Mus musculus: one gene and its partners. The protein of the gene in region 2 interacts with the protein of the main gene of each other region in a pairwise test. Links are inferred from orthologs where the notes say so. Each region holds a gene or a part of one and is shown on either strand. Other genes may lie near its edges.

The links.
Region 1: the proteins of Myog (region 2) and Eif4e2 interact in binary tests that used the Homo sapiens proteins (3 or more experiments, as listed by UniProt). The two-hybrid records come from large-scale screens. The link is inferred for Mus musculus from reciprocal best matches to the Homo sapiens genes MYOG and EIF4E2.
Region 3: the proteins of Myog (region 2) and Ftl1 interact in binary tests that used the Homo sapiens proteins (3 or more experiments, as listed by UniProt). The two-hybrid records come from large-scale screens. The link is inferred for Mus musculus from reciprocal best matches to the Homo sapiens genes MYOG and FTL.
Region 4: the proteins of Myog (region 2) and H2ap interact in binary tests that used the Homo sapiens proteins (3 or more experiments, as listed by UniProt). The two-hybrid records come from large-scale screens. The link is inferred for Mus musculus from reciprocal best matches to the Homo sapiens genes MYOG and H2AP.
Region 5: the proteins of Myog (region 2) and Txndc9 interact in binary tests that used the Homo sapiens proteins (3 or more experiments, as listed by UniProt). The two-hybrid records come from large-scale screens. The link is inferred for Mus musculus from reciprocal best matches to the Homo sapiens genes MYOG and TXNDC9.
Region 6: the proteins of Myog (region 2) and Cluap1 interact in binary tests that used the Homo sapiens proteins (3 or more experiments, as listed by UniProt). The two-hybrid records come from large-scale screens. The link is inferred for Mus musculus from reciprocal best matches to the Homo sapiens genes MYOG and CLUAP1.
Region 7: the proteins of Myog (region 2) and Polr2c interact in a two-hybrid assay, tested with the Homo sapiens proteins (2 studies listed by BioGRID and IntAct). The link is inferred for Mus musculus from reciprocal best matches to the Homo sapiens genes MYOG and POLR2C.

Annotation. Positions count from the first base shown.
Region 1 is NC_000067.6:87,212,558-87,216,713, forward strand, and holds the start of Eif4e2 (eukaryotic translation initiation factor 4E type 2), read left to right. Parts: upstream 1-1,356; 5' UTR 1,357-1,442; coding exon 1,443-1,462; exon of another isoform or gene 1,463-1,933; coding exon of another isoform or gene 1,934-1,938; intron 1,939-4,156. UniProt on the Homo sapiens protein: Recognizes and binds the 7-methylguanosine-containing mRNA cap during an early step in the initiation. Acts as a repressor of translation initiation.
Region 2 is NC_000067.6:134,288,575-134,292,803, reverse strand, and holds Myog (myogenin), read right to left. Parts: upstream 2,801-4,229; 5' UTR 2,749-2,800; coding exon 2,278-2,748; intron 1,712-2,277; coding exon 1,630-1,711; intron 1,131-1,629; coding exon 1,009-1,130; 3' UTR 256-1,008; downstream 1-255. UniProt on the Homo sapiens protein: Acts as a transcriptional activator that promotes transcription of muscle-specific target genes and plays a role in muscle differentiation, cell cycle exit and muscle atrophy.
Region 3 is NC_000073.6:45,457,444-45,461,275, forward strand, and holds Ftl1 (ferritin light chain 1), read right to left. Parts: upstream 2,444-3,832; 5' UTR 2,189-2,443; coding exon 2,087-2,188; intron 1,788-2,086; coding exon 1,641-1,787; intron 1,218-1,640; coding exon 1,092-1,217; intron 841-1,091; coding exon 664-840; 3' UTR 501-663; downstream 1-500.
Region 4 is NC_000086.7:9,845,596-9,848,000, reverse strand, and holds H2ap (huntingtin-interacting protein M), read right to left. Parts: upstream 1,055-2,405; 5' UTR 971-1,054; coding exon 617-970; 3' UTR 501-616; downstream 1-500.
Region 5 is NC_000067.6:37,994,409-37,998,596, forward strand, and holds the start of Txndc9 (thioredoxin domain-containing protein 9), read right to left. Parts: upstream 2,801-4,188; 5' UTR 2,701-2,800; exon of another isoform or gene 2,485-2,700; intron 1,434-2,484; 5' UTR 1,414-1,433; coding exon 1,225-1,413; intron 1-1,224. Other genes in the region: Eif5b (eukaryotic translation initiation factor 5B), read left to right, coding at 3,882-3,916. UniProt on the Homo sapiens protein: Significantly diminishes the chaperonin TCP1 complex ATPase activity, thus negatively impacts protein folding, including that of actin or tubulin.
Region 6 is NC_000082.6:3,907,705-3,911,808, forward strand, and holds the start of Cluap1 (clusterin-associated protein 1), read left to right. Parts: upstream 1-1,304; 5' UTR 1,305-1,427; coding exon 1,428-1,449; exon of another isoform or gene 1,450-1,796; coding exon of another isoform or gene 1,797-1,821; intron 1,822-3,222; exon of another isoform or gene 3,223-3,570; intron 3,571-3,746; coding exon 3,747-3,858; intron 3,859-4,104. Other genes in the region: 1700037C18Rik (uncharacterized protein C16orf90 homolog), read right to left, coding at 746-749. UniProt on the Homo sapiens protein: Required for cilia biogenesis. Appears to function within the multiple intraflagellar transport complex B (IFT-B). Key regulator of hedgehog signaling.
Region 7 is NC_000074.6:94,856,006-94,860,249, reverse strand, and holds the start of Polr2c (DNA-directed RNA polymerase II subunit RPB3), read right to left. Parts: upstream 2,801-4,244; 5' UTR 2,695-2,800; coding exon 2,609-2,694; intron 2,504-2,608; coding exon 2,454-2,503; intron 7-2,453; coding exon 1-6. UniProt on the Homo sapiens protein: Core component of RNA polymerase II (Pol II), a DNA-dependent RNA polymerase which synthesizes mRNA precursors and many functional non-coding RNAs using the four ribonucleoside triphosphates as substrates.

The DNA of each region.
Region 1 (4,156 bases), about 47 Mb from region 2:
CCCATTCGTCTAATGTAATACTTCCTCCCACCCCCACTGATCACAAAGGATTTCTTGAGTTTTACTATCTCCCCCCCCCCCATTGTTAGAAATTCTTCACAGTATGGATAGTCAAGAGGCACTGTTCAAAATAAAATAAAATAAAATAAAATAAAAAACAAACAAAGCCAGGCAGTGGTGGCACACGCCTTTAATCCCAGCACTTGGGAGGCAGAGGCAGGTGAATTTCTGAGTTCGAGGCCAGCCTGGTCTACAGAGTGAGTTCCAGGACAGCCAGGGCTACACAGAGAAACCGTGTCTCGGAAAAAAAAAAAAAAGGCCCTGTTCACCTGACCCACATTTCACATGAGCAAGCTGGGGTCCAGAGTAAGAGGAACTCTCTAGAACACTCCTTTATAGGGTTCAAATTTCCATCTCTGATCCAATCTCAGACACTGTAAGAAAGACTCCTAGCCCTGCAAATTCCTTTCGTCCTCTCTCTTCTCAAAAGCCAGAGTACTTGCAAGGCTAGGCCCAAAGCCACTGGGCTGGGTGTGACAGGAGAGCTTCCTCAGCCTCCCTTACATGCCAGGCAATAGGATGATCCCCTGAGGTCTTCCTGAGGAGAAAAAGCGTGACCTTGCTGAGTGACCAGGGGACAACCACGGGCCAGTCCTGGGACACTTTCCTCACCTGTAAATACAGGCACGAACATCAATTTCTACCCCTCCTCTCTGGTGATTAAAAATAAACATCTAACAATGTAATATGTTCAGCAGATGGGTCAGGAAAATGCGTGCCTCATAGCTCTGGAGTTACATCACCAACTAGGGAATTTATTCCTGTGTATGTGATGTGGTTTTGGACAGTCCTTAGGAGTGTGGGGACAATGACTTCAGTTGAGGAGGCAATGATGAGTGAGACCATCTCGGTCCTCAGTAAGTTTGTCACCCTGGTTCGACTCCCCCCACCCCCCACTTCACCCAATATATAGGGAAGGTCTTAATGTATCCCAGGCTGTCCTCGAACTCACTATGTTGGTTAGGCAGGTCTGGATCTTCCTGCTGCCATTTCCCAAGAGCCAGAATTGCAAGTTTGTTTGTAGTGCTCTCTCGTCCTCTCCAAACACCAAGAGCAAAGGATCAACTGCCAGAGAATACCATTTACTAAAGGTTACTATGCCTGACATTTTCCCCCTGGAATCCACGGGGAGGTTAAAGTGGATGGCCGGCAGCCTGCGTAGACAATGCTCAGTGCAAGCAGCCACACCAAGACAGCCCCGGTCGGAACAAGCGCTGTCGTCCCGGGCCACCCGTCCGGGAAAGAGGCCCCGCCCAAGGCCTGAGCACTGACGTTCCGCTGAGCGCCTCGCCAGCCAACCGGAAGTAGCCGGGCCCTTAGCGATGGGACCCGGTAGAGCGGAAGTCACTCCGTGAGGCAGTGGCGACAGCGGCGGCAAGAGGATGAACAACAAGTTCGACGCGTGAGTGGCGCGTGGCCGACCCCGGGGCCCCTTCCCCCAACCGTCCCCCGGGACCGCTCCCGCCGGGGCCGGGCGCGCCCTCAGCCGAGCCGCTCGCTCCCGGGCCGCCGCAGCCCGAGCCTTCCTGCGCCCGCGGGCCCGACGGGGCCGGGAGAGCGCGGCCGAGGTCGCCGGGACCCCTGAGCCGCTGGACCCCGGCGCGGCACGGGCCGGGGGAGGGGAGGCCGCGCCGCCCGGAAGGAGATTTTCGGACGCCCCGCCCTGGTGGGTGCGGGCTGCCGGCGGCGTGGAGGGGCGGGACCTCAGCGCTTCGGGTGTTTCCGCAGCCTTGCTGCCTTCTCTCTGAACGCGGCTTCCCTCCCGCACTCGCTCGGCGTCCTGGGAAGGTCACCTCTCCCTTCCGAGCCTCGATTTTGTCTTCTGCAAGCGGGGACGGTAACAGAGCCCGTGTCGTAGAGTTGGGCAGCTGCGATGAGGTAATGGGGCAGCCGCGCTGAGTACTGTGGCCTCTCGAGTACGGAATGCTTTTCATCTGAGATTCTTCCTGCTTCCTCCCCGACCACCACCCTCCCTTCATCCCCCACCCCGTCCCTGTCTTTCAACTCTTAGTGGCTGCCCACCCCTGCATTCATCTCCAATTCCCGCAGCGAACAGTTGGGAAGTACAGAGAAGAAATATGTGTTGGGGTGGGGGATGGGGGGGTGAGAACATTCCCCTCCTAACGATTAAATCTTTTAGCATTTAAAAGTAATTTTCGTTTTCATCTAGCCCCACTTAAGTTAGTGTTTCACAAGAATTGTATCCCTGGGTAGATTGCAGTGCTCCCTCCTCTCTATGGTTTGTAGTGATCAAATCTGGTTTATCATTCAAAGGCCTACATTTTTAGTTTTAAGCCCACCAGCTGTTTGACAGTACAAAAGTCCTCCAGTCTGAGCCATCGATCTCACCTCTGTAGTGGTTAGGACCGGAAGGACCACATCACGCTCTGCAATACTTAGAGGTACTGTGTAAAATGCTGAGCATGAGCTGTGAAGGGAAAGTGGACTCACTGATAGGTGGTGAAGCTGCAGGTTTTCAATACAGTGAGTTCAGAGGTGCAGACTCAGGAAGTACTGGGATGGGGATTCCAGTTGTACAGCCAGCTCTTCCTTAGGTTTTCATGGTGGCTGAGTGAGCTCTGCTTCTTGAGAAAAGACCTGATGTCTTCTCCACCTTGCTTATTAGCAGAGTCCAGCAGGATAGAGATCCATTGGTCTCCTGTCATAGGCCCTGCAATACCTAGCTTCATACCTGCAGCCCTTCCTCCCTTCTTCTCCTATTGGAACAAATCAAACTGCATCCTAAGAAGATAGTTTTTAGGTTGCCTGTCTTGAATAAGGATGGTTATGTTGGCCACTGTCGTCGTCACTGTTCTGTTGCTGTTGAAGAGATGCCATGACCAGGCAACTGTTTTTTTGTTGTTGTTGTTTTTGGGGGGTGGGGGTGGGGTCTGAGACAGGGTTTCTCTGTGTAGCCCTGGCTGTCCTGGAACTCACTCTGTAGACCAGGCTGGCCTTGAACTCAGAGAAATCCGCCTGCCTCTGCCTCCCGAGTGCTGGGATTAAAGGTGTGTGTCACCACTGCCCGGCCGGGCAACTCTTATGACAAGTTTTTTCTTTTTCTTTTTTACTTATTTATTTAACTAACAAGGCCACACACCTCCTAATCCTTCCTAGCAGTTCTGCTCCCTGGTGACTAAGCATTCAAATATATGAGCCTATGGTGGTCATTCTTAGTCTAGCCACTGCAGCCACCCAGAGGCATCCCTGTGGATTTGTTTCCTAACTTTTTAGGTTAGCATAGAAAGTAGCAGGTTCTATTAGGACACCTTCATACTCAGGCCATTACTTTGTTCTCCTTCTTCCCTGCCCCCACTGGACTCGCTGTGGTCCCTCTCTAGCTCGCTTTTTTTCTTCTAGCTGTCCCCCAAGTCCCTATTGCATGTATTATATTCCTCTCTATTTCCCACTAGCTTCTTCCTAATAACTCTGCAAAAGAGATCTTGGCATGTTTTCTGATAGTTAAGGAAAATGAGGCTTTTCAAGGTTAAGTAACTAGTGCAAGATAGCCTAAAGGGCCAGCTCAGGCTCACTCTTCTACTTTGTTCAAGTGTCTTTATCAACATTTGCTGGGTGGTTTAATTGTTTATAACTATGAGCTGTTGTAAAGAGTAGGGTCTTTTAATGCCCTCTTCCTCCTTCTTCTTCTTTTTTTCAATTATTTATTTTGTATATGAGACACTGTCACTGTCCTCAGACATACCAGAAGAGGCCATTAGATCTCATTACACATGGTTGTGAGCTACCATGTGATTGCTCACATTGAACTTAGGACTTGGAAGAGCGGTTAGTACTTTTAACTGTTGAGTTATCTCTTCAACCCCACCTGTCTTCTAACTTTGCAATAAAGGACAAAAATAAAAGCTTGCTTTTATTTGAAATTAGCAATTAAAATGGTACCCTTGTCCCTGGTTTTGGTTTTGTCATTTCAGATTTTCTTGTGAAAACCCTGCAGTTTGTAGAATGTTGCTCCTTATTTGGAGTCTGTACTCTTTATAACATCTCCCCAGAATTTTCCAGAATCATTCTCAAAGCGTAGTCTCCAGTGAGTGCAGTAGTATGATCTGATGGACACAGATTAAAGAGGCCCTCTAAC
Region 2 (4,229 bases):
TGGAACTGTGAATGACGTCTGACTGAAAGTACAACAAACAGAGTATTTTACAGGCCTGCCTCTGTGGGCCCAGGGTTTCTAAGGAATCCGGTCTTTCCCCCAAGCTGTGCGGCACTTGGCTCCTGCGTCTAACAACCAGCTCAGGACTCCAGCTCCACTCACATGATCCACACCCCCCCACTCCCATTTGGACCTCCAAGGGAAAGGTGCAGAGTTTTGGTGGCTCCCCTCTTGATAATATCATTGCAGATGCTCTGATAGCAACCAGTCTTTATTCATTTTTTAAAAAAGGAAATCCAAATAAGTTAGCAAAAGAATTACAAAAGAAAAAAAATTGGCAAAACCACACAATGCTTAGTTAACAAAAGAAGTCACCCCAAGAGCCCCCACCCCCTTCCCTGCCTGTTCCCGGTATCATCAGCACAGGAGACCTTGGTCAGACGGCAGCTTTACAAACAACACACAAAACAATAAACAATACACAAAGCACTGGAAGGTTCCCAAGATCCACTGCAAATGCTTGGCCCCCAGAGGCTTTGGAACCGGATAGCTCCTCCCCCTTCTCTCTCAACTCAGGGCAGGCCCAGCCCAGCCACTGGCTTCAGGAAGAGACTAGAACAGATGTGCACACTTGTCCAGGTCAGGGCACTCATGTCTCTCAAACGGTTTCATTTTGGGGGTGGGGGGTGGAATTCGAGGCATATTATGATAAACAAAAAAGAAGCTCCTGAGTTTGCCCCACTGAGGGACATTAACAAGGGGGCTCTCTGGACTCCATCTTTCTCTCCTCAGAAGAGGATGCTCTCTGCTTTAAGGAGTCAGCTAAATTCCCTCGCTGGGCTGGGTGTTAGCCTTATGTGAATGGGGAGTGGGGAGTCTGGCTTGTGGCAGCCCAGGGCTGTTTTCTGGACATCAGGACAGCCCCACTTAAAAGCCCCCTGCTACAGAAGTGATGGCTTTTGACACCAACTTGGGGGCTCACATGCACACCCAGCCTGACAGACAATCTCAGTTGGGCATGGTTTCGTCTGGGAAGGCAACAGACATATCCTCCACCGTGATGCTGTCCACGATGGACGTAAGGGAGTGCAGATTGTGGGCGTCTGTAGGGTCAGCCGCGAGCAAATGATCTGCAAGAAAAAGTGGGAGAATGTTTCCTGGGCAACTGGTATGGGACCCTTGACACAGATTTTCCAGGACAAAATGGGTAAGGAAGACTCAGGAGTGTTCCCCGCCCCCAGGACACTAGTACTCCCCATGCTGTGTGTGTGCTTGTGGGGTTTTAAAAGTGGCTATCCCTAGGTGAAGCCAGGATATCCTAGGGCACAGGGCACAGTTTTACAACACTGACTGAGTGATCCCCAGGGACCCCTGGGGCAGGAGCAGGCTCTTCTCTCTGAGGTCAGAGACCAGCAGGGAAGTTGCTGGAGGCTCTGACTACTCTTTAGCTGGTCAAGGCTACCGGGAGGCACAGGGTCTCCAGCCCACCATTTGGGGCCCTCAGGTCAGCAAGTTCCTAGAAAAGCTGCTGAAGGGTGATTGGGACAGGGCTTATGGTAAGGGTACAAGCCCAGCCTAGGTAGGGACTAAGGGATTTGAGCCATGTTACCAGGGTCAGGATTCACTTACCTCCTGGGTTGGGACCGAACTCCAGTGCATTGCCCCACTCCGGACTGCAGGAGGCGCTGTGGGAGTTGCATTCACTGGGCACCTGCATGCAAGACAAGGCCAAGGTCCAAGGTCAAGTCTACTGCCAGTCTCAGGTATTTCTCTCTGCCTGGGTTACAGGGTCAGTTGCCTACCCTAGAATGTTACCATAGACATCCTACTTCTAGGTCTTTCCTAGCTTCTAGGATGAGAACTTTGCTTTCATTTCGGCGGTGAGGGTGATAAACCACAGTATTTTGTTACGGTGGCTCCTGAGCAGGCCTGTGGGCATTCTAATGTGTTTCGTCAGGTCAAAAATGAAGGCTGTGGACTTGGGACAAAGCAGGTTTCTTAGGCCACTTTTCCCTCATTTTCACCTAGGCTCACCAAAGCCCTTACTGCAGGCTTGTTTCCGGGCCCCTTCTGTTCTCCTGTGCCAGTCCACCCTACCCCATCTGTATTTTGGAAACAGTATGAGCCCAGAAGGCCACTGGACAGTCTAGCCGACAAGGAAAGGGGTCCAGGGATCCCAAGGGCCCTGCTTTGCACCTGTTCTAGCTCTGGTGGCCCGGGGCTGACCAGGCACCTCCCTCTGGCCCTATCCCTGGATCTGGTGTACTAGCCACTTACCATGGGCTGGGGCCCGCCCCCGCCTCTGTAGCGGAGATCGCGCTCCTCCTGGTTGAGGGAGCTGAGCAAGGCCTGTAGGCGCTCAATGTACTGGATGGCGCTGCGCAGGATCTCCACTTTAGGCAGCCGCTGGTTGGGGTTGAGCAGGGTGCTCCTCTTCAGGGCCTCGAAGGCCTCATTCACTTTCTTGAGCCTGCGCTTCTCCCTCAGTGTGGCTGCCCTCCTCCGGTCCACCGACACAGACTTCCTCTTACACACCTTACATGCCCACGGCAGGCACTGGCCTGGACAATGCTCAGGGGTCCCCAGTCCCTTTTCTTCCAGGGGCCCTCGGGCTTCCGGGCTTAAGCTGAGCTCAGTCCGCTCATAGCCCGGGGGCTCGAAGCCCTGAAGGTGGACAGGAAGGTAGTTTTCCCCATCATAGAAGTGGGGCTCCTGGTAGAAATAGGGGGATGTCTCATACAGCTCCATCAGGTCGGAAAAGGCTTGTTCCTGCCACTGGCCCCCAAGCTCCCGCAGCCCCTCACACCAACTGCTGGGTGCCATTTAAACCCTCCCTGCTGGCATGAACCCAGAGATAAATATAGCCAACGCCACAGAAACCTGAGCCCCCCTCTAAGCTGTTGCTGCACATCAAGACGTTTCCAGTGGATTACATGTGATTCCCCTTCCCTCTCCTTTTGCCCCCACCCCACCCTGCAGGCCTGCCCCTGGCCCAGGCGGCTCCTGTGCACGGGTCGGGAGGCCGTCGGCTGTAATTTGATTAGTTTTCATTTCTCCACAGCCCCTGTGGGGCAGGGAAGGTGGGGGTGGGTGCATTCCCCCGTCTCATCTGCTCCTTTCAATTACTCCTACCCGGGCCTCCTGCCTACTCTCTCCTCCATGGTCCAAGGCAGCTGGTGGACAGGGCAGGAAGGGAACAAGAAAGGGGTTGTCTTGGACGGACGGGAAGGGGTCTTGAAAATCCACTTAGCCTTCTCTTTCCTGCTCAGCAGCACCTTAAACCATACTATGTCAGTCCCATGAGACCCCTAAAGACCTACCACTACCACATCAGGACCACTCCAGATTTGGGGCGTGTGTGTGTGTGTGTGTGTGTGTGTGTGTGTGTGTGTGTCCCTATCGTCCATGGAGGCAAAGACAGAAACCCAGAAGGGCAAATGGATTCAACTTTTGGGTTTCTACAGCTTCTTTGACCAGGTCTCATGATGTTGGGGGTAGATTGAAGTAAGAGAACACAGGGACTTCTTAAGTAAGGGGGGGGGCCTTAAGTAGTAGGGGTCAGGTGAAGTCAGTGTTTAGCAAGGATTAGAACTCACAGACTACTCTACATTGCCTTCTTCTCCCCTAGTCAAGAGCTGTTCAGTCCCCTGTCTGACGCTCTTTTTTAAATTATTTTTTATTAGATATTTTCTTCATTTACATTTCAAATGCTATCCCAAAAGTTCCCTATACCCCCCCTCCCCCCGCCCTGCTCCCCTACCCACTCATTCCCACTTCTTGGCCCTGGCGTTCCCCTGTACTGGGGCATATAGTTTGCAATACCAAGGGGCCTCTCTTCCCAATGATGGCCGACTAGGCCATCTTCTGCTACATATGCAGCTAGAGACATGAGCTCTGGGGGTACTGGTTAGTTCATATTGTTGTTCCACCTATAGGGTTGCAGACCCCTTCAGTTCCTTGGGTACTTTCTCTAGCTCCTCCATTGGGGGCCCTGTGTTCCATCCAATAGCTGACTGTGAGCATCCACTTCTGTATTTGCCAGGCACTGGCATAGCCTCACAAGAGGCAGCTATATCAGGGTTCTTTCAGCAAAATCTTGCTGGCATATGTAATAGTGTCTGTGTTTGGTGGCTGATTATGGGATGGACCCTGTCTGATGCTCTTAATCATCTCTTCTGTGCTTTCCCCTCAATAATGCCTTCTGGCACTAGAACCGTTTTGACTCTTTC
Region 3 (3,832 bases), on a different chromosome or scaffold from region 2:
TGTTTTAACCAGTGTGAGCTGACACAGCAGTATTGTCCGGTGTTCCACCCCCCACCCCACCAACTTCCCATGTTTCTAACCCCTTTGCAATGGTTTAGTTCCCATTTGGGCAATGGTCCCAAGTTTCACATCCTCTTTTTGATGGGCCCAGCATCTAGTTCGGAATCCAGCAAGACACCCTGGCTCCCCACCCTCGCTCAGCCAGCACCCAGGGCTCAGCTTGCTCACCTCCTGGCCTTCTACTTGTATGTTTAACTCATTTCTGAACTTGGATGTTTAAGCCTTTTCACTTCCCTGCACAGTAACATAAACCAAGGACTGGCAAACTGCTACAGGCTACAGACTCCTACGACCTGGATTTGCCACATGAAAAGGCAGATACTACCACACAGAGATCGCTGTAAGTTATCACATGTGGGTTCCCACAAAAAACAGGAGTACATACAGCCAACCTCTTCTTTCTCGTGCACCCCTCCCACATATATAGAAAAAACACCAGCTGCTGTCTCAAAAAGCTTTATTTTTACTTGGTCCAAGACTTGACAGAGGCTCCAGGGCGGTTACAAAGCTGCCTAGTGGCTTGAGAGGTTCATTCAGGTGGAGGTCCCAGGGCGGGCTGGTGCAGAGCAGAGGGGGGAGCCCCTTGGAAGGTACAGAGGCCTCCTAGTCGTGCTTGAGAGTGAGGCGCTCAAAGAGATACTCGCCCAGAGACCCCTGGGGCGCGCCAGTCTGCGCTGGTTGTGGCCCCGCCACCCTGCGGAGGTTGGTCAGATGGTTGCCCATCTTCTTGATGAGTTTCACCTCCTTATCCAGATAGTGGCTTTCCAGGAAGTCACAGAGCTGTAAAGGAAGGAAGAGACATCAGACACCGAGTTCTAAGAGACAGGTGTGAGCAGGAAGCTTTAAAAAAAAAAAATCCTGCCCTCAAGGGCAGGTAGGTAGGTAGGTAGGTGTGTCCTCAGTACTGTGTGTGGTGCTTCTGCAATCTGCACTCGGGAGGCAGGAGGATTAAATTATTGGGAGCTGAAAGCCAACACACAACAGTCTAGGTTTTGTCAGAGAAGGGAAGAAATGATTAGCAAGGTACTTACATGAGGGTCCGCGCGGGCAGAACCCAGGGCATGCAGATCCAAGAGGGCCTGATTCAGGTTCTTCTCCATGGCCAAGGCAGCTTCCATGGCCTCCTGGGTTTTACCCCATTCATCTTGAGATGGCTTCTGCACACAAGAATATCAAGCCTAGATTACATCCTTCACCCAGCCAATATAAAACTGACTGCACAGGAAAAGTGGGCACAGTGGGGAAAAATAATGGGATACTGTCTTTAATCCCACCACTGAGAGACTGGGCGAGAAGACAGGAGGATCTCTTGATAGGAGGCAACCTGGTCTACATTGTGATTTCCATGCTAGCTAGAGAGACACCGCCTCTCCCCAGCCCAGCAGTCCTCATCTGTATTCTGTAATTACCCCCATTTTCCAGTTTCTGACATCCTGGTGGGTTTAGTTGCTCTACATACTCCTATTGTCTACACTAGTCCTGCCACCACTCCCTTCCAAGACGTCTATCCGGATGCCCAAACTATGGGGATGGCAAGTAAACGCACATGCTCGGTAGTGCCCAATACCCCCGCTTCTTACCTGCACATCCTGGAAGAGTGCACGGCCCCCGCGATCGTTCTGAAACTCGAGGAGACGCTCCGCGCCCTCGCGCTTCTCCTCGGCCAATTCGCGGAAGAAGTGGCCTACGCCCTCCAGAGCCACGTCATCCCGATCAAAAAAGAAGCCCTGCGGGAGGTTACAAATACGAGTTAACGGAACGCGGTGGCTCGGCTCACACTGTAAACTTCAATCGCAACACTCAAGAGGTAGAGGCAGTACGTGTGAGATTTCGAGGGCAGCCCGGTCTGCCCAGCGAGTTCCAGTCAGACAAAACTACTATGTACACAGCGCGCAGGGAGAGGGAGAGGTCGGAGCACAGTCTCTGCCCTGCATGGAACAAAGAAGGCCCGCGCATGCGCAGGAGGGTGGGTGTGATGGACCCCCCCCCCCCCCCCCCGTTCAGAAGGCAACCCCGAGCTGCTCACCAGAGAGAGGTAGGTGTAGGAGGCCCGCAGGTGCAAGTTGACCAGGCGGTTCACGGCAGCTTCCACCTCGGTGGAATAATTCTGACGAATCTGAGAGGTCATGGCTGATCCGGAGTAGGAGCTAACCGCGAAGAGACGGTGCAGACTGGTCCTAGGAGCTGAAGGCAGCGAGGAGATGGTCCCGGAGGCTGCGACTGGAGAGACTTGTAAAGGCGGCTGGAAGCGAGTACAGTGGGAATCCCCGGGTCTGTTCCGTTCAAACACTGTTGAAGCAAGACACAGATCCACGGGACCTCCAAGGCGCTGCTCTAAGTCCCGGGCAAGGAGCGCTCCTTTTATAGCATGTTGACCCTCCGGAGGGAGGGGTGCCCCAGGCCCGAGACTAACCAATCGGCGGTGGCGTGAGGCGGAGACGGAAAAGTATACTTGACCAATCCGGAGCTGAGGGGAACCTCGCTCCCCACCCACCCAGTCCCATGAGATGAAGTCACGGGACTGGAGCGCGAGGCCTTGTGAAATGGAGGCTTGGGGGAGGGGCGGTGGTCCGGATCCGGAGGCGCAACCTGGAGGGGTCGCAGGGTTCTGGGCTCCGGGTCACTGAGACCCTGGGGAGGGGATGACTTCGAGGTCCTTTTCTGGGTGTCTCACAAAAGAGAATTTTGGGGCCTGAGAACATGGATCTGGGGATGGGCTGAGTGTGGGGTAATGTCTGTAAATGCAAAGGGAACCTCCATATGTCCAATTGCACACAATGAAGGGATATGTCACGTCATGAGGAAGTCTGGTATTCCAAAGATTCTAGAGATCTCCTTGAGGGAATGGAAGGGATGCCCAGAAGTATAGGGTTTTAGGTTCACCATAGGAACTAAGATTGTTTGCTTGTTTTTCTGTTTTCTGTAACCCAGGAGGTCGTGAAGCCCTTTGAGGGCTTGGAGTGGGCAGAGAGCCTTGGGTTACCGTGTGTGCACCTCCCTCGGGTGCTCTGGAAGGTGACATGTGGAGGCCCAGACAGGACTTTGGAGTTCTGGTCAGCCTGTCTGTCTGGGTCTGTGTCAGTGAACCTGTCTTTCTAGAAACAGACACGCATGATGGCGCTTGGAGAATTGCTGGGCTCCTTCCTGGAGTTTGGTCCAGAAGCCTCCTTGCAGGTTGCTCTTTTGGAATCAAAAGGCCCGAGAGTTAGGGAGAGCAAGAACTCAGGACCCAGAAACAGACAGTCAGTCTTACGCAGAACAGTTGGGGCATGCAAGGCCCAACTGGACTTTTGAGGACAGGACGGGCTCATACCAGGGTCTAATCTCAGAAGCCTGGGAAGAGAGCAAAGGGAAACGAGCCCAATCATGAAAAGGGGCTAAAGGAAGAAACAGTAAGATGGGTCAAGGGAGCCACGCGGAGCAGGAAGAATGTGCTGCTGAGGCCCTTAGTGGAAGGGGTAGCAAGGCCAGTTCTGCTGAGTCACGCTGAGCTCAGCTAGGCAGTGGGGCGGGCGGCAGGCCACACCCGGGCTGACAGCCAGAAGTCCCCCGGCTAAGGGGCTTGTGGTCTGTTTTCCCTGTGTGGTCAGGCAGCTGTACGGCTCTGGAGTGGCTAGCCTACACGTATCTTTCTCCTGACTTGACGTCTGCGGTGGTCTGTTGATTTGGGGGTCAGAGTTACTCATTAACCACAGTGCTCCAGAACCTGACCTCTGGCCTTCAACCCGACAGGCCTGGACAAGGCTGTAAAGGTGGAAAAAGATAAAACCCG
Region 4 (2,405 bases), on a different chromosome or scaffold from region 2:
ATTTTACCTCTTCTAAAGTGGATGCTTCCTTCTGGCTTCACCATCACACCATCATCAACTGAATGCTCTGTCCCTTATGCCCACTCATGTGGCTCATGCTGACTGTCTGTACCCCTTCACCGATACCCATTTCCTTCTCCTCTGAGACCTTCCCTCCCATGAAAGAAGACTTCCATGCAAATTTTCTGCTCATCAGTAGTTTCTTCTAAGTTACCATACTGAAAATATAACTTGCCAATGAGGTTACAGCCAACTTCTGATCTTCTCTGAGGCTTCTTTTGTACTCAGAGCCAACAAGGGAGCCTTCTCTGCCCTCCCCTCCACCCAATTTCTCCCACCAGGGTCACTACCCAAGCCACCCCCCACCCCTGAGAAGTGCTCCCTTAATTCAAACAAGCACTCCTTAAGCATAACCTCCATCTTCCATTCTTTCTTTAGTATCTTGTGGATAACCTCCAACCCAGGAGAAACAAATGAAAAAAGTCAGAACAATTAGCTTTCATTTAAACATTTTATTAGTAGTCATGGACACCAGGGGAGCCTCCTCTGCTATTAGCCTTCATGGTTCTAGCTGAGTCTGTGAGGCTTTCCACCCTTGGGTTGTGTACCCCATTCTTTAGCCATTCCTTCTGGGTCCAGGCATCTCGTCAAACAGAGAGAAAGGCGCATTCTTGAAGCCTCGAGAGGGTTCGCGGTCGTTGTCTCTCTGTCTCTCTCTATCTTGTGAGATATTTTGCTGGTTGTTGATGTTGGCTTCGGAGCCCACCACCTCCAGGATGTAGTCGGTGAGGTAATCAAGCATGGCAAGAAGGAAATCTGAAGTTGTGGACCCTATGCAGGGGGTATATTGCTCCTCCTGCAGTATACGGTACACATAATTCACAGGAACCTGTACCTCAGGCCTAGAAGAAGGATCTTCTATCTGGTTGTTGTCGCTGCAAGGCTTTTCTTGGCTCTTCTTCTCCGACATGATGGTTTGATGGATTGGGCTCCGGTAAGCTCTGCCTGGTTCACCAGCAGGACTGGCTCTCTGAAGACACTGTTCAGTCAGGCCCATTGCACCCCCAGCTTCTGCACCTCATTGGTCAGGAGCTACCTTTATGACATCTTAGGCTTTGAGATGTCATTGGTGCCTGGTGGGTTATGGGTTCTGACTAGGCCTCAGAGCCTAGAAATATCTATCACAGCAATGTGGCCACCCTACCTCGATTTTGAGGAAACTGTAGCTCTCCTCAGTTTACACTTGAATTAACATTGTAGAAATAATGTTTTACTGGAAACTGTATGTCGTCACAACCATTCTTTCAGTAATTATGGGGCAGTAATAAGCATGTCAAATACATTTCCAGGTAGAGGTTTGACTGTCCTCTTCAAGCAGTGTTGAGACCCATTTTGATTCAATTTACTTATTTAAATCGGCTTGGTTAACAATCCTGTACACCTTTGAACATGTATTCATTCAGTATCTACATGAGTTGTATCTGATCTTCAAAATATCTATTTTTTTGAAGAGGAAATGCTCAGTGTGCTTCTGGTACATAGATGTTGGTATCTGTACTTTGTGTGCCATTTGAGTCAGGATGTAGCTTTCTTGGATTAGTTGGGTTAAAGCCAAGCCCTAGTATAGATATTTAATTTCAATTTTTCTTTCTATTAATATCTTGTTTCTGCTTTTTGGTTGTATTTTAGTTCACTTGTACCCAATAACTTTCCTATTCCAAGAGAAAGAAAGTATAATGAATCTTCAATCTAGTTAAATGTTAAAACCCAACTATGTAAAACTTTATTGGATATCAGGGCAGAATAATAACCTCATGAGATGTGAGACCATTTACCCTGGCTCTATTGATTCCATGGTCTTATCTATAGCCAGATCTCTTCCCTCTAGACTCGCCAATAGTTTCTTTGAATCATGTATCCTTTGAGTGATGGTAACACAAGGTTATGAGTGAGTAATCTTATACACTGTTGTTCTTCACAAAGTTTAAGAATCCCACAGACTTTTGTCATTTCATCTTCTGTCACCTTTGATCTAATCTGACATTATTTCTGCTGATATAGCATTTCCCAAAGCTTATAGATCTATATAACTCATTTCATCAAACATTTGATTTTTTTCATGGGTCCTTAATTGTAAAGGATAGTCATGCTTCATCCACAGACCCAGAGAGGCTTAAGTAACAAGGAGAGCTCTAGGGGTAAAGCCTGGATCTCCCTGGGAAGGGGTGATAGAATAGATTATGTGGGTATACTGGAGGTGGGTAGTGAAGGAACAGGAGAGACCAGTTTGGGGAGGAAGCAATGGAGGGAGAGAGTACAGGGAGAGACTACTGGAACTTGGGGGTAGGCTTGAGGGTCAATGTGGAAACCTAGAGCAGCGGAAACTTCTTGAAACTTATATGAGA
Region 5 (4,188 bases), about 96 Mb from region 2:
ACCAATTTAACTTTCACATGCATGCTCTTTAAACTAGTAAAATCAGGATTGTTTGATCCAAATGATTACAAAAGTGTTTTTCTGTTTATTTTGTGATGCGAGGGACTAAACCAGGAAGAGCAGGCTAGGGAAGAGCTCTACACTTTAGAAAATAATGTTCTTACAGACAATTAAGGGATGCTGAGTGTGGGAGAAAGAGTGTTCTCCAGGGAGAGCACACCAACTGGCTATCCACTACCGAACGGTCAGCCTTGAAAATGTACACACAAGCAACATTATACAGACTGAGCATGGTATACTTAGAAACAATGTCCTATCCACAGCAAAAACTAAACAAACCAAACCACCTCAAGAAATAAAGTCCGTCTATCCTGGGGACAGTGCAGTCATCACCGCTCAGGAGCTTAAGAACCTATCCATCTCAAAACAGGGAGGGCTTCTACACCAGCCAACAGTGGGCAGAGTCCTCAGAAGGAAGAGTATTATATCCATGTGGGGTCCAGAGCCAAGGAAAAGCCTCACAAGGAAACGTTCAGCTTCCCAGGCTGAGGAAGGGCCATTACCCACAATCCTGGGAACTCTTCCAGCCCCTTCTACCTTTCCTGTGGCAGAAAGCTTGACACCTCAAACAGATGCTCACTCTCCCTCCTCAGGCAGCAGTGGCAACACCCACCCCAGCATTAACTGACCAGGGTTCTAATGAACCTTCCGAGCCTTCACCTTCTCTCTTGTAAGTCAGTGTGACAAACCAACCACGTCACTGAGTGGCCATGAAAACCACAAACAGAACAGGGGTGCTGGCGCTCAACTCCAGCACTTCGTAGGCAGAAGCGGTGTTGTCTGTGAGTTCTAGGCCAGTCATGGCTATACAGTGAGATCCTGCTCCTGTCCTGCCCCCCCACAAAAGATAACCTAATAAAAATGCAGAGTCTAACACTTAAATATCTTCTCGTACAGAACCATGATACTTCTTTCTGATACGTGGACCCTAAGCTTGGTCTATGAGAAGACGTTTCATCTCTCTTTTACTATCAACGCCCCAGTCAAATGCTTCATCTTGCCTAAACCTTCCCTAATGTTTCATCCCTGGGTTAAGTATTGAACATTGACGGAGATGTGAATTCAGAACATCCTGCAAGTGAGGAGGGAAAGTCACATGACTGCAGTGCAGTCGGGAGCTGGGCTCCAGTGATTCAGTGAGCAGGCGGGCGGGCGGGAGGTTACTTGTTTCTGCTGCTGAGCCTTCCTGAGCGCCGCCAGCCTCTTTTCTTTGAGCAGCTCCAGTTCATCTTCACCAATCTGATCCAGTTTCTGAATTTCAGAGTCCAAGTGATTCTCCACCAGCTTAGCGGCCTGGAGGAACTGGTTCTCCAGGACTTCTGAGAACATGTCGACGGATCCATTACCTTCCATTGTTCTAAGTGGTCTTGGTGCTGGGGGAGGGGGCATAAAAAATAAGTATTAAGTTTACATTTCGGGGGCTTTGTTGTTTTTTTTTTTTTTTTTAAAACAGGGTCTCTGTAACAGAGCCTGAGAGGTTAACACAACAGATGCCATGTTGGAGGCACTATTTTGGCCTTAGAACTCAGCATGTAGGCCCCAACACCTGCCAAAACCAGAATAAAGATGTAAACCATCAAAGATCTCATTTATGGTTCCAGAATCCAGGGAAATCCCTAAATACACTAGCTTGCTTTTCGGCATACTTCCTCAAAAATATCCTGACATAAACGTTACAAGTCCAGGTGACAGCCCATCGCTTCTACGACTAAAGGCAGGCTCTTGAAGCAGAGAGAAGTAATTACACACACGTCTACTTGTGTCCAACATCTGCTGGAGAACAACATTAATCTGGGAGTAGATTAATTAATGCAACCAAGACAATCCCTACTCTCTGAGCCATGCCCACTGGCCAACCTAATCTACCCAATTTCTCAATGAGTCTTTCTTCCTAGGTGACCGTAGATTATTCTATCAAGTTGACAGCTAAAACTAATCAGCTCACACACAAAATAAGCCTGGGCATGGTGGCTCATGATTACAACCTCAGCTCTCAAGGGCAGAAGCATAAGGGTCACACCTCATATTTGGAGCGATAGGCCTGGGCTACATAAGGTCATTTAAAAACTCCAACTGTCAGCTTCTCATAAATACTATACAACTGAAAAGAAGCTGTACTCCCAGGATCCCTAACTCGGGGAAGAGAGAGAAGGATCCGAGACCAGCCACTCAGAATCTGCATCACAGTATTCGTTTATCACCGAGAATTTCACAGGAGACCTTTACGTTTAAATGCGGAGCTTCACGCGACTAAAAGTGCTGCCCTGAATTAGGCGGAGGTGGTCACTGCCTTTATATTGGGGGTAAGGACATAACTTTCTATTTATTGAACCAAATCGAGTATTATTCTTACCGACGAACTGGGGGCCCTGACACCTATGTACTCCCCTACAAACTCCTAACCGAAACCCTAACCCCATGTACCTGTCAGCAGACTCTTCGCCACTCCCTGAGCTCAAGAGACTGGTGGAGTAGTTCCGGGGGGACCCGATTTCGCACTAACTGGGGCGCATGCGCCGTAGCCTCCGCAGCCGCCCAGACGAGGCCCTCCCAGCCGCTCCCTCGATCCCAGCCGAGGATGTGTCCTTCATCAACACTGGGACGCTGTGGCACTATCGGCCACATCACCCTCAGCCGTACCTGGACTATTGATGAGGCCTACGGAGAGAGGAAGCCGCAGATCAAGAATACCCACCGGGTTCACACAGGTTTCAACCTCGCAGCAATTGTTAAGGGCAGAGAAGGGGCTGTTAACTCCGCCACTTCATTGGCTACAGTCCTCTCGCGATACAATGTGAGACACTCGCGGAAAGGGCGGTGGCGAGTGACGAAAGCCTCGGAGAAGCCCTATCCTCCGCCACCCGGAACTACTGGCTTCCGAGCCTACGCTTCACGTGGGCTAATGGCCGGAGGGATGGGCGCTAGGCACGTTGGGAATTGTAGTTCTTTGTGCACTGACTGCGGGTCCCGGCTCTACCGGGAAACGAGCCGGGTCTTGAGCCTGAGTGACAGAGGGGCTTCATTTCTCGTTGTGTTTAATAGTTTCGAAAGTGTAGCTTACAGTACATTATAATTTATACACAGCTCACACTAGTAACATCGCCCCGAAACATGGAGAAAATTTTCACCATGCCAGGATCTTCCCTCCTGACTTTCTTAGGCACATGAATTTTTAGAACTTGCTCATACGAAGATTCATATTAGGGGACCCGTTGCTGTGTCCTTATGTCTTTTTCCCCTTAATAAATGTACACAGTTGACAATTCATGAGTGTTTCTGAGAGGGATCCCATTTTTTGTCCTGCCACCCCCAGAACGCTCATCATTGACTCTTTGTGGTCCTGTAATGGACTTCCCGCAGCTGAGGCCGCGTAGGCAGGGGAGAATTTTCAGTCCCACTTCTGCGTCGAAAGCCAGCCCCGGGAAGGGTGCCGACGTGAGAAATGAACGGCCTCATTGTCGTCCTCTAGGTTCTAGAACCCGGGATCCGCCGGACGTCGGTGCGCGGCGCTCACTTGCGGCGAGGGGGCGCCTGGGTTCCCACCTGGCCGGCGGCTCTACTGGAGACGCTCTAGCCGAAGCGCCGCTCTCGATGAGCCGCGCCCTGCGTCCCCACGCCGAGGCGGCGGGGCGATGCGCTTGCGTACTGAGGGCTCACACCATATGTGCCCTGTCCCAGTGCGCGGGTCTGTGGAGAGCCGGGTGCGAGAGGCGGCGGCGCGAGGGGGACCGAGCCGAGCGGGCATTGGAGTCAGCCGGGAGACAGTGGGTCTGTGAGACACCGAACCGAGGGGCCGGGGCCGCGAGCGCCGTTGACAAGCGATGGGGAAGAAACAGAAAAACAAGAGCGAAGACAGGTAGGCGGCGGGGCTCGGGCCGGGGGTCCTCCGGGAGTCGCGCGGGGCCCTGGATGGGCGAGCCTCGACGGGGCGCGTCCCGCGGCCGGGGCTCGGGCTGGGGTCCGAGGCGTGGGGCTGAGGGGCTCGGAGGTCGTTTGGGGGTCCGGGCGGTGTGGGGCCGGGCTCGGGCGCTGCTAAGCCAGGCCTACGGCCCAGGTGAGTGCGAGCCGGGCCCGGAGAGCCCGGGTGGGGCGGGCCGGGAACGGCTCCCTCGCCTCCCCTGGCCCTGG
Region 6 (4,104 bases), on a different chromosome or scaffold from region 2:
AGTAGGGCCTGCTCTCCCCTGTCTAGGGGGTGGATCTGCAGGTCTCCCATAGCAACTGGTCCTTATGATGTCACAGTAAAGACTAGTCTTCCTGGACCTCCTAGTTTGGGAGAGTATGGTATGTCAGGGGCAAGGAGGGAGGCGGGCAAGGGAAGAGACCAGAAACCTAGGGTAAATTTGTTGATGTTAGATTCAGAGCAAGCCACATAAGACAAATTGGCTTTGGTATGCTGGAAAGTCATTCGCTAGGCTTCCTCATTTGTGGCAGGGAGAACGAGGATTTGGAGAACAAACCTGTAGAGATCTGAATCATGCTGAGAAGATGGTTCTGGGTGACACTTGTCTAATTATCCATTTTCTCATAGGTTAAGCAGTATGTAGATAATGCCAATTTTTTTCCTGTGCATTCTGACAAACTGGAACAATTATTCTGCTGGTAGAAATATAAAACTACAGGTTCTTTAGAATCTTAACTCCACCACAACTCTGTTTCATTATAGAAAATTTAGTTCTAGGTTTTACATCTAGGTGTATGAACCATTGTTTTTTACATAGATATTAATTTGCTATGGATTGCTCATTGTTTCAAAACCATTTGTTGCAAAGACTGTTCAAATGCATTGTCCCCCATGTTAGACTAGCCACGAATGTATGGCCCTACCCCACATATTTTTGTCCTTAAGTATCTACTCTTGGTCAGTACCACCGTGTTCTAGCCAAGGGCACCTTTACTTCTTGCACCTACCCATTTTCCTTATCGCCCACCCTTCCTGGCACAGCTCTCCTCTCTCCAGCCCTGCTTTTGTCGCGGTTGTCCTCGACTCGTAGCAGTCACCAAGGAGAGTTCTCTGTAGAGCCTGTGCTGACCCTGACACCCTAGGCGTGGTACACCAGCACTACCTCGCTCCACAGTTTCCAGGGCAACCTCTGGCGCGCGAGTCTGGGCGCCAATTTCCGGCTTGTCGGGAATACTGACTAGCTGTGCGTGCACAAAAGCCTTCCGGGTACAGGTCTCGAATTCTGCCCAGGGTAGGGTATCTTCGTTCCTGTCATTCTGTGGATACTTTATGAGGCTTCGACTGCGGGGTTTAGCTATGCTTTTACAAATACAAAGGAGACTCGGTCACAAAAGGTTATAATGTGCTCCATATATCAGTGAGGTAATGAGAGTTCCAACGGGACCAGAGCCAAAAGCGCTCTCTGAAAGACTATGACGTTGCGCAGCTCGCAAGGTGCTTGGCGCCACCTGTTGGTCTGTGTCCTGCGCTTGCGCTCACCACCCCTCTTCGCTTCCTGTCCTGTTTGGCCTGGTCCGCACGCTGTCCAAGGCCTCTGAGCGTTGCTATAGAGACCGGAGAGCGCTGGGCCTGCGAACTCTACAGAGACGGGCAGCGGCGCCCCAGTGGACTCTTGGGGACCAGAGCGCCATGTCTTTCCGCGACCTCCGCAGTAAGGCTGCACCCGGCTTTCCCGTGGGCTTCCCAGGATCTCGAGACTCCCCTGCCGGACCCCTGCCAGAGCCGTGGGCCCAGGCAGGCCGTGGGTCCCTGGGCCAGCCAGGGGCTGACAGAACTTTACAGCACCTTTGGAAAGTTCGGTCCGTCACTGGCCACGTGTAGCTAGAACACTGGGAATGTGTCTCGAGCCGCTGAAGAACTGAATGTTTAATTTCACCTCATTTTATCTCTGGTTGTCACGGCCACATTTGCAGCCGCATTAGAAAGGTCTTGCGGAAATGGAGACTTCTTCTGCATTTAGTTTGTAGAAAGAACCAGTAAAGCCGAGGAAGTGGCCGGATGAATGGATGGCTAGTGCTGCTAGGTTGTTTTGTTCATTTTTGAGGGTTTGTTTTGTTTGTTTGTATGTTACAATCTGTCACATGCTGTCCTCTATGTGGGCAATATTTCATTTACTCCTAGCAGGTTTGTGCCCTGGTTAGAGATGAAACAGGCAGCAAGAGGTCAAAGTAATTGAACGAGTTGCTTTAGAGTTTGAATCCAGCTTGCCTGAATGCCAAATACTGGGCAGAGAACTTGGCTAGAGAGTGGGGAAGCAGACTACTCTTACTCGTTATACTCTTTGGGGGAAACATCCTTTTTGTGGCAGGTGATTATATTTCACCCTTATTGTTCCTAGTTTTAACTGCAAGTTAAGTAGTATAGCTACCCCTGGTTCACACAGCTAGAGTGATGGGACTGTGTGACCTAAAAAATCTTACTTCACTTACAGAAGAGTAGCAGCTATTAGGGTCGTGTTGTCTAGGGTTTGAGGGTATTTGAAACAGTGTAATTATGACTGTCCCACGTAGTTTTTGATGAGGCTGGCACTTTACTGGGATCATTGAATAGTGATCATTGTACTGGAAAGAATATTTAAAAGGAGTATTTCAGAATTTATACTGATTTATATTTTTTTACCTTAAATAAATGCTGTATAGTGTGTAATCTATGAGACTGTCACCATTTATAACAGTGGAGAACTTGATAGCTACTACTTAGCTAAAAGGAGTGTTTAGGCAAAACCTGACTTTTTTCATAGAGGTATAAGGAAAAGCTGCAATATAAAGGGTATACATATATGGGATATATGTGTGTGTGTGATATAAGGGAAAGAAATAAGGGAAGGATGCTTCCTATCTTTCTACCATCTCTTCGTGACCTAGCAGAGTCTGCCTGCCCTGCTTTGTTGCCCAGATAGATTGTTTGGAATGCTGAATGTACATTTTGAATACCCGTAAGCATGAGTAGACATTACATTGCCAGGAACCATGGTCAAGATCTCAGCATATTGTAAGAACTCAGAAATGTTGGTTGTTTTCTTGCTTTCTTGCTCTCTTTTACTTGTTTTTCAAGACAAGGTTTTTTCCTGTCTTGAACAACAGCCCTGGATGACCTAGAACTTGTTTCATAGACCAGGTTAGCATCAGGTTCACAGAGGTCCATCTGCCTCTGCCTATGAGCACTGGGATTAAAGGTATGCAGCACCACGCCAGGCTTGGTTGCTCATCTGTAAGCCTCGCTTTCTTCATCATTGTTTTCTCCTTTCTTTCAAGCAGTGTGGCTTTGTTTTAGTTGCTCCCAACTTAAAATATTACTGTTTACTAATCTTTGGTTTTTCGAGACAGGGTTTCTCTGTGTAGCCCTGGCTGGCCTGGACCTCACTCTGTAGACCAGGCTGGCCTCGAACTCAGAAATCCGCCTGCCTCTGCCTCCCAAGTGCTGGGATTAAAGGCGTGCACCACCACGCCCAGCTTGTTTACTAATCTTTTTTTTTACAGTAAATCTAAATACTGCAGATAGTTCAGCCATTCTCTTATTAAATTTTCTCTGACTATAAAGTAATTGATCTTTAAAATTTATGTCATGAAAATCATATATGGTCACTGGAGGAAAAAAAACAATGTATAATCTTGTTCTAACAACGTGTTTTTCTCATGTTTTATGAGGCTAGGTAATTTTTATTTTGGATAGCAAAGAGGCAGCTACCAGAGAGAAATTAAAGCCCCAGCTAATACCTACGCCCCATTTCTCCAAAGGAAATCTACTATCGTTGAACTTGGGTGTTTTTCAGGTGATGGATTAGATATTGTTTCAAATCTCCCCTTTCCTTTCCCCATTCTAGAATTGATGAATTCAGCACCTGGAGTTGAGAAGACCTGATAAGAAAGGAAAGCATTAGATTAACTGTTTTCCAAAAGGAGATGCTATTTGACAAGGACTGACTGAACTGTGTTTTATATTGCACAGATTTCACCGAGATGATGAGAGCCTTGGGGTACCCACGCCATATTTCTATGGAGAATTTCCGCACACCCAACTTTGGGCTTGTCTCTGAAGTGCTTCTGTGGCTTGTGAAAAGGTTAGAATGCATTTTATTCACACCTTGGTGTGGATAGTTGGTTTCATTCAGTAGCTAACTGGAACTTCTAATGCAAAGGAAGGCTACAGTGAGGTTTGCATAGGATGGACTTAGCTGTAACTTATAAAGAGCTGCCACGCACGATGGTGCAAGTAGATGTCTGTTAGTTCAAGGTCAGCCTGGCCTACATAACAAGTTCCAGGAAAGCCAGGGCTGCGTAGTGAGAGACCCTGTCTCTTTCATTTT
Region 7 (4,244 bases), on a different chromosome or scaffold from region 2:
CGATGGCTGGAAAAGGCAGCAACAAAACAGGGTAAGTGAGGACTAGTCACCAGACACATCTACAGACCTGCAGCAGCACTGTCTCCACTCTGCCCGGCGCTCAGGGAGCAGAGCCAGCGCCTGGTCTACAAAGTGAGTTCCAGGACAGCCAGGGCTACACAGAGAAACATTGTCTCAAAAAACAAAACAAACAAACAAAACCCAACCAAACAAAAACAAAAATTAAAAAAAAAAAAAAAAAAAAAAAAGCAAGCAAGCAAGCAAGCAAGCATCAATTCAGCTTACAAAGTTGAAGGTGTCCTGACCAGGCTGCAAGAGGCTCAAAGTGACTTCAAAGTGATGGCTCCAGGTTCAGGCATCCCACACGCCATACATAACACCTTCCTGCCCCAGTGGGGGATGGGCCTTGCTAGTGATACACCACACATGCATGCACATACTCTCTCTTAGAGCTTTTTGGGATATTTAAGGAGTTGAATACTTATCTAAGGATTACTTTAAATCTGCTACCTGTGCCAATCCCAAACCCAAGAACGAAAGCTATCTGGACACCATGGGCTGGAGGGATGGCTCCGCAGTTCTGAGGTTCCTGGCACCCATGTCAGGCAGCTCACAACCCCTGTAACTCCAACTCCAGGGGCATCTGAGACCCCTGGCCACCTCCAGCCCCTGCATTCACTGGTAAACACCCACACACAGAGACACAATTTTAAAAACTTAAAAGTCAGGGAAAACATCACAACAGCAAAACATCCCAAGTTTCAGGGCCCACACCTCGTTTGTGATATAACCAGATAGCCCACTTGGAATTTCAGTGTTCCTCTCATCAGTAGATGTTCACTGGACAGCTTCACCAGGGAAAGCCCACTAACAATAGAACCCAATCCCCCCCCAGGCACTGCTGGGCAAATGGGGCTGTAGCATACAGATGCTGCACTTAAGCATGTGTCTAGTCACCCATCAGCAAACACCTGCATGTAAACAATAATGTTCAGAAATCAGTGGTGTTGGAAACCCAGTTCTCAAGGAGCTGATGTAGGCCAGGAAGAGGCCGGAAGACCAGCTGAGGATAGGCCCAACCTGCCCTTCACCGCAGTGCTTCCTCAACTCAAGCAAGGACCAAGCTTCCTGATGATTTACTTCTGGGGCCCATTGAATGCCCTTAATCTACTTCCACCATTCCCATTCCCCGACCCCTGGTGGGAATTCCCCATCTCAGAAAACCTCGAGTGTCCATGTTTACAAACGCTCCACTCCCTTTTGGCCTCCTTCCTCTCTCAAAACAAACAAACAAACAAACGATAAAACTGGTCAGATTCTCCTGAAGGTGTCATATTTTGCCTTGTTATGTTTGCTCATGTCTTGTCTCTAACTGAAAACGTACATGATTTACATATGCAGCAGAAATAAGAAATTCATTTTTAAAAAGACACCAGGATGGATTTAAAAAAACAAAAAACCGAAGTCTGTCTGTCTGTCTGTCTCTCTCTCACACACACACACACACACACACACACACTTCAACAATAAGGAACAAAAGTATGTTGTTTGTTAAAGAAAATCTTAAGCCGGGCAGTGGTGGTGCACGCCTTTAATCCCAGCTCTTGGGAGGCAGAGGCAGAGGCAGGCAGATTTCTGAGTTCCAGGCCAGCCTGGTCTACAAAGTGAGTTCCAGGACAGCCAGGGCTACACAGAGAAACCCTGTCTTGAAAAACAAACAAACAAACAAAATTAGAAAATCTTTATAACACATGCTTTCTCTCATGTGGAATCTCTCTCTTTTTCTCTTTCTCTCTTTAATAAAGAGAAAGTTCGGAGCCTGCAAGATGTGCAAGATACTTTTTGTTGTCAAGCCTTAAGGAGTTCAATCCTGGGCCCCATATGGTGGGAGAAGAGAATCCCTCCTACAAGCTGTACTCTGACCTCTACACATGAACTCCGGTACTCGAGCCCAGAGATAGACACATATATGTAAATAAAGGTTTTCAAAAAGATAGGGGGAGACGACAAGAAAGTATAGCAGGGTACTATCTGGAAGGATGGGAGAGACCAGGTACACTCTGTGTGTGTAGATTTCAAACTACATAACGAAGCCCATGATTTTGTAAAATCAGCATATATGTTCAAAAGACACCAGCCAGTAGCGAACACTGACGTCAAAGCAAAAGCGCATCATCTACACTACTTCGGCAATCGCTGCATCACCTGCTAACGACGCCTAGCATCTACACCGCCCGGATGAGGAGGCTGCAGCCCTCCGCTGTTTAACAGTGCTTGGTTTTGATTTCTGTTGCTTTGGGGTAGACGAACAGTACTGGGAAACCCGCAGCTGAGCAAGGCACGCACCAAGGCGGGCCTAGGCTGCCCCAGCCCAGCGTACAGCACCGCAGTGTTCTCAGCCCCCACCCCGGGCGGAGGGTGGGCGGCACGGGCTCCCAGGGACGGTCGCTTACCTATTATGGGCACCTCTGCGATGAAGACCCTCCGAATGGAATTGGCCACCCTACAGGAGGAAAGACAGGCGGTGTGAGCGGCCCCGAAGCCACAGCCCCGGGGTCAGGAGCTCGAGGACCCGGCCGCCCGCCCGCCTCTCCCCTCGCCGCCTTACGCCAGGTCCGTGTTCTCGATAATGAACTTGACGTTCTCTTCGGTGAGTTCCGTGATCCGCACTGTTGGCTGGTTGGCGTACGGCATCGCGACCCTCCGCCAGGCTCCCGCGCCAGCCGCACAGCGCGCCTGCGCGGCCACCAGCAGTTTGTCGGCGGGGCAATCGGCGCTTCCGGCTAGTCGCGGGCGCAGCGCCACCTGCTGACCGGAGGCCGGAACTCTCCTGGCCTGTGTTTTCTAACCACACCGGCGCCAAAATGCATTGGTCCTATACTCTTGAAATCCCCAAGATATACAGCACAAAAATTAAATGTACAGGGTCATTCATGCCAACGTTATTTATAACTGCTAAAAATAACGCATTAGGCAATGATCGATAGAGACTTGGTTAAACTTACATACGGGGCTGGAGATACGGCATTGGGGATAAGAGCACTGGCTGTTCTTATGTAAGACTTGGATTGTATTCCCAGCACCCATATGATGCCTAACATCTTTAGCTTCAGTTTCTGAGGAAACTCTCTCCTGGTATCTGAGGGCACCAGGTATTCACATGGTGCACAAATATACATGCAAGCAAAACATCCTTATACATAAAAATAATTTTTAAAATACATAGGAATACAATGAAACCTTAAAAAAAACCATTAAAAAGTTGTACATCTATACATGAACAAAATGGCTAGGGAGGTGACTCAAGCATGCAAGACGACTGATAGGTTATTTCTCTGCTGGTAAAATGAGCCAATTCAAGACAGATTAGAATATATTAAAAGGCAGGTTTATTGGGAAGCTGCTCTCAGGTGAGTTCACTGGCCTTAAGAACAGAGGCCGGGGAACCGCCATGGGAAGGGCAGAGAGGGAGAAGAGAAAGGGCCTGGGGCAGGGGGAGGGAGATAGATCGATCCAGAGAGCAAGAGCAAAATGTCTGGATTCTATAGGGAAGAACCTCTTGGGGAAGGGCAGCCCAGCCTCTGGGCTGGAAAGTTCAGGGTGGAGGCAGAGCATGCCAGGTGGGGACTGAAGGATGCTGGGAGAACCTGGAGGCCAGGTCTGCTTTGACGGGTAAAATATGCACCTCAGTCACTTGTTCCAGGGTGCGAAGCCAAACCCTGATGTGCAAGGACACAAGGTCAAATTCTCAGAACACCTGTAAAGAGGCATGGTAATGCAAGAGTCTAATCTTAGGCTCCTGTGAGTAGGAAGATGGAGAGAAGAATCCCCTGGATGCTCTCAGGACAGTTAGATAACACACAAAGAAGCAAACAAGAGACCCACATCCGAGCTAATGTCAGAGAGAGTACTGTAATGCATACACAAGAAAAACAAAACCCATGTTTTTTTGTTTGTTTGTTTTTGTTTTTGTTTTTCAAGACAGGGTTTCTCTGTATAGCTCTGGCTGTCCTGGAACTCACTTTGTAGACCAGGCTGGCCTCGAACTCAGAAATCCGCCTGCCTCTGCCTCTGCCTCCCAAGTGCTGGGATTAAAGGTGTGTGCCACCACGCCTGGCTTTTTTTAAAATTTTTTTTTAAATGTATTTCTATTTTATATGTGTATGTATGTAATGGTACCAATACATCACGTGTGTGGAAGGATGCCAGGCCTGACTGCAAGTGCTCTTACCCACTGAGCCACC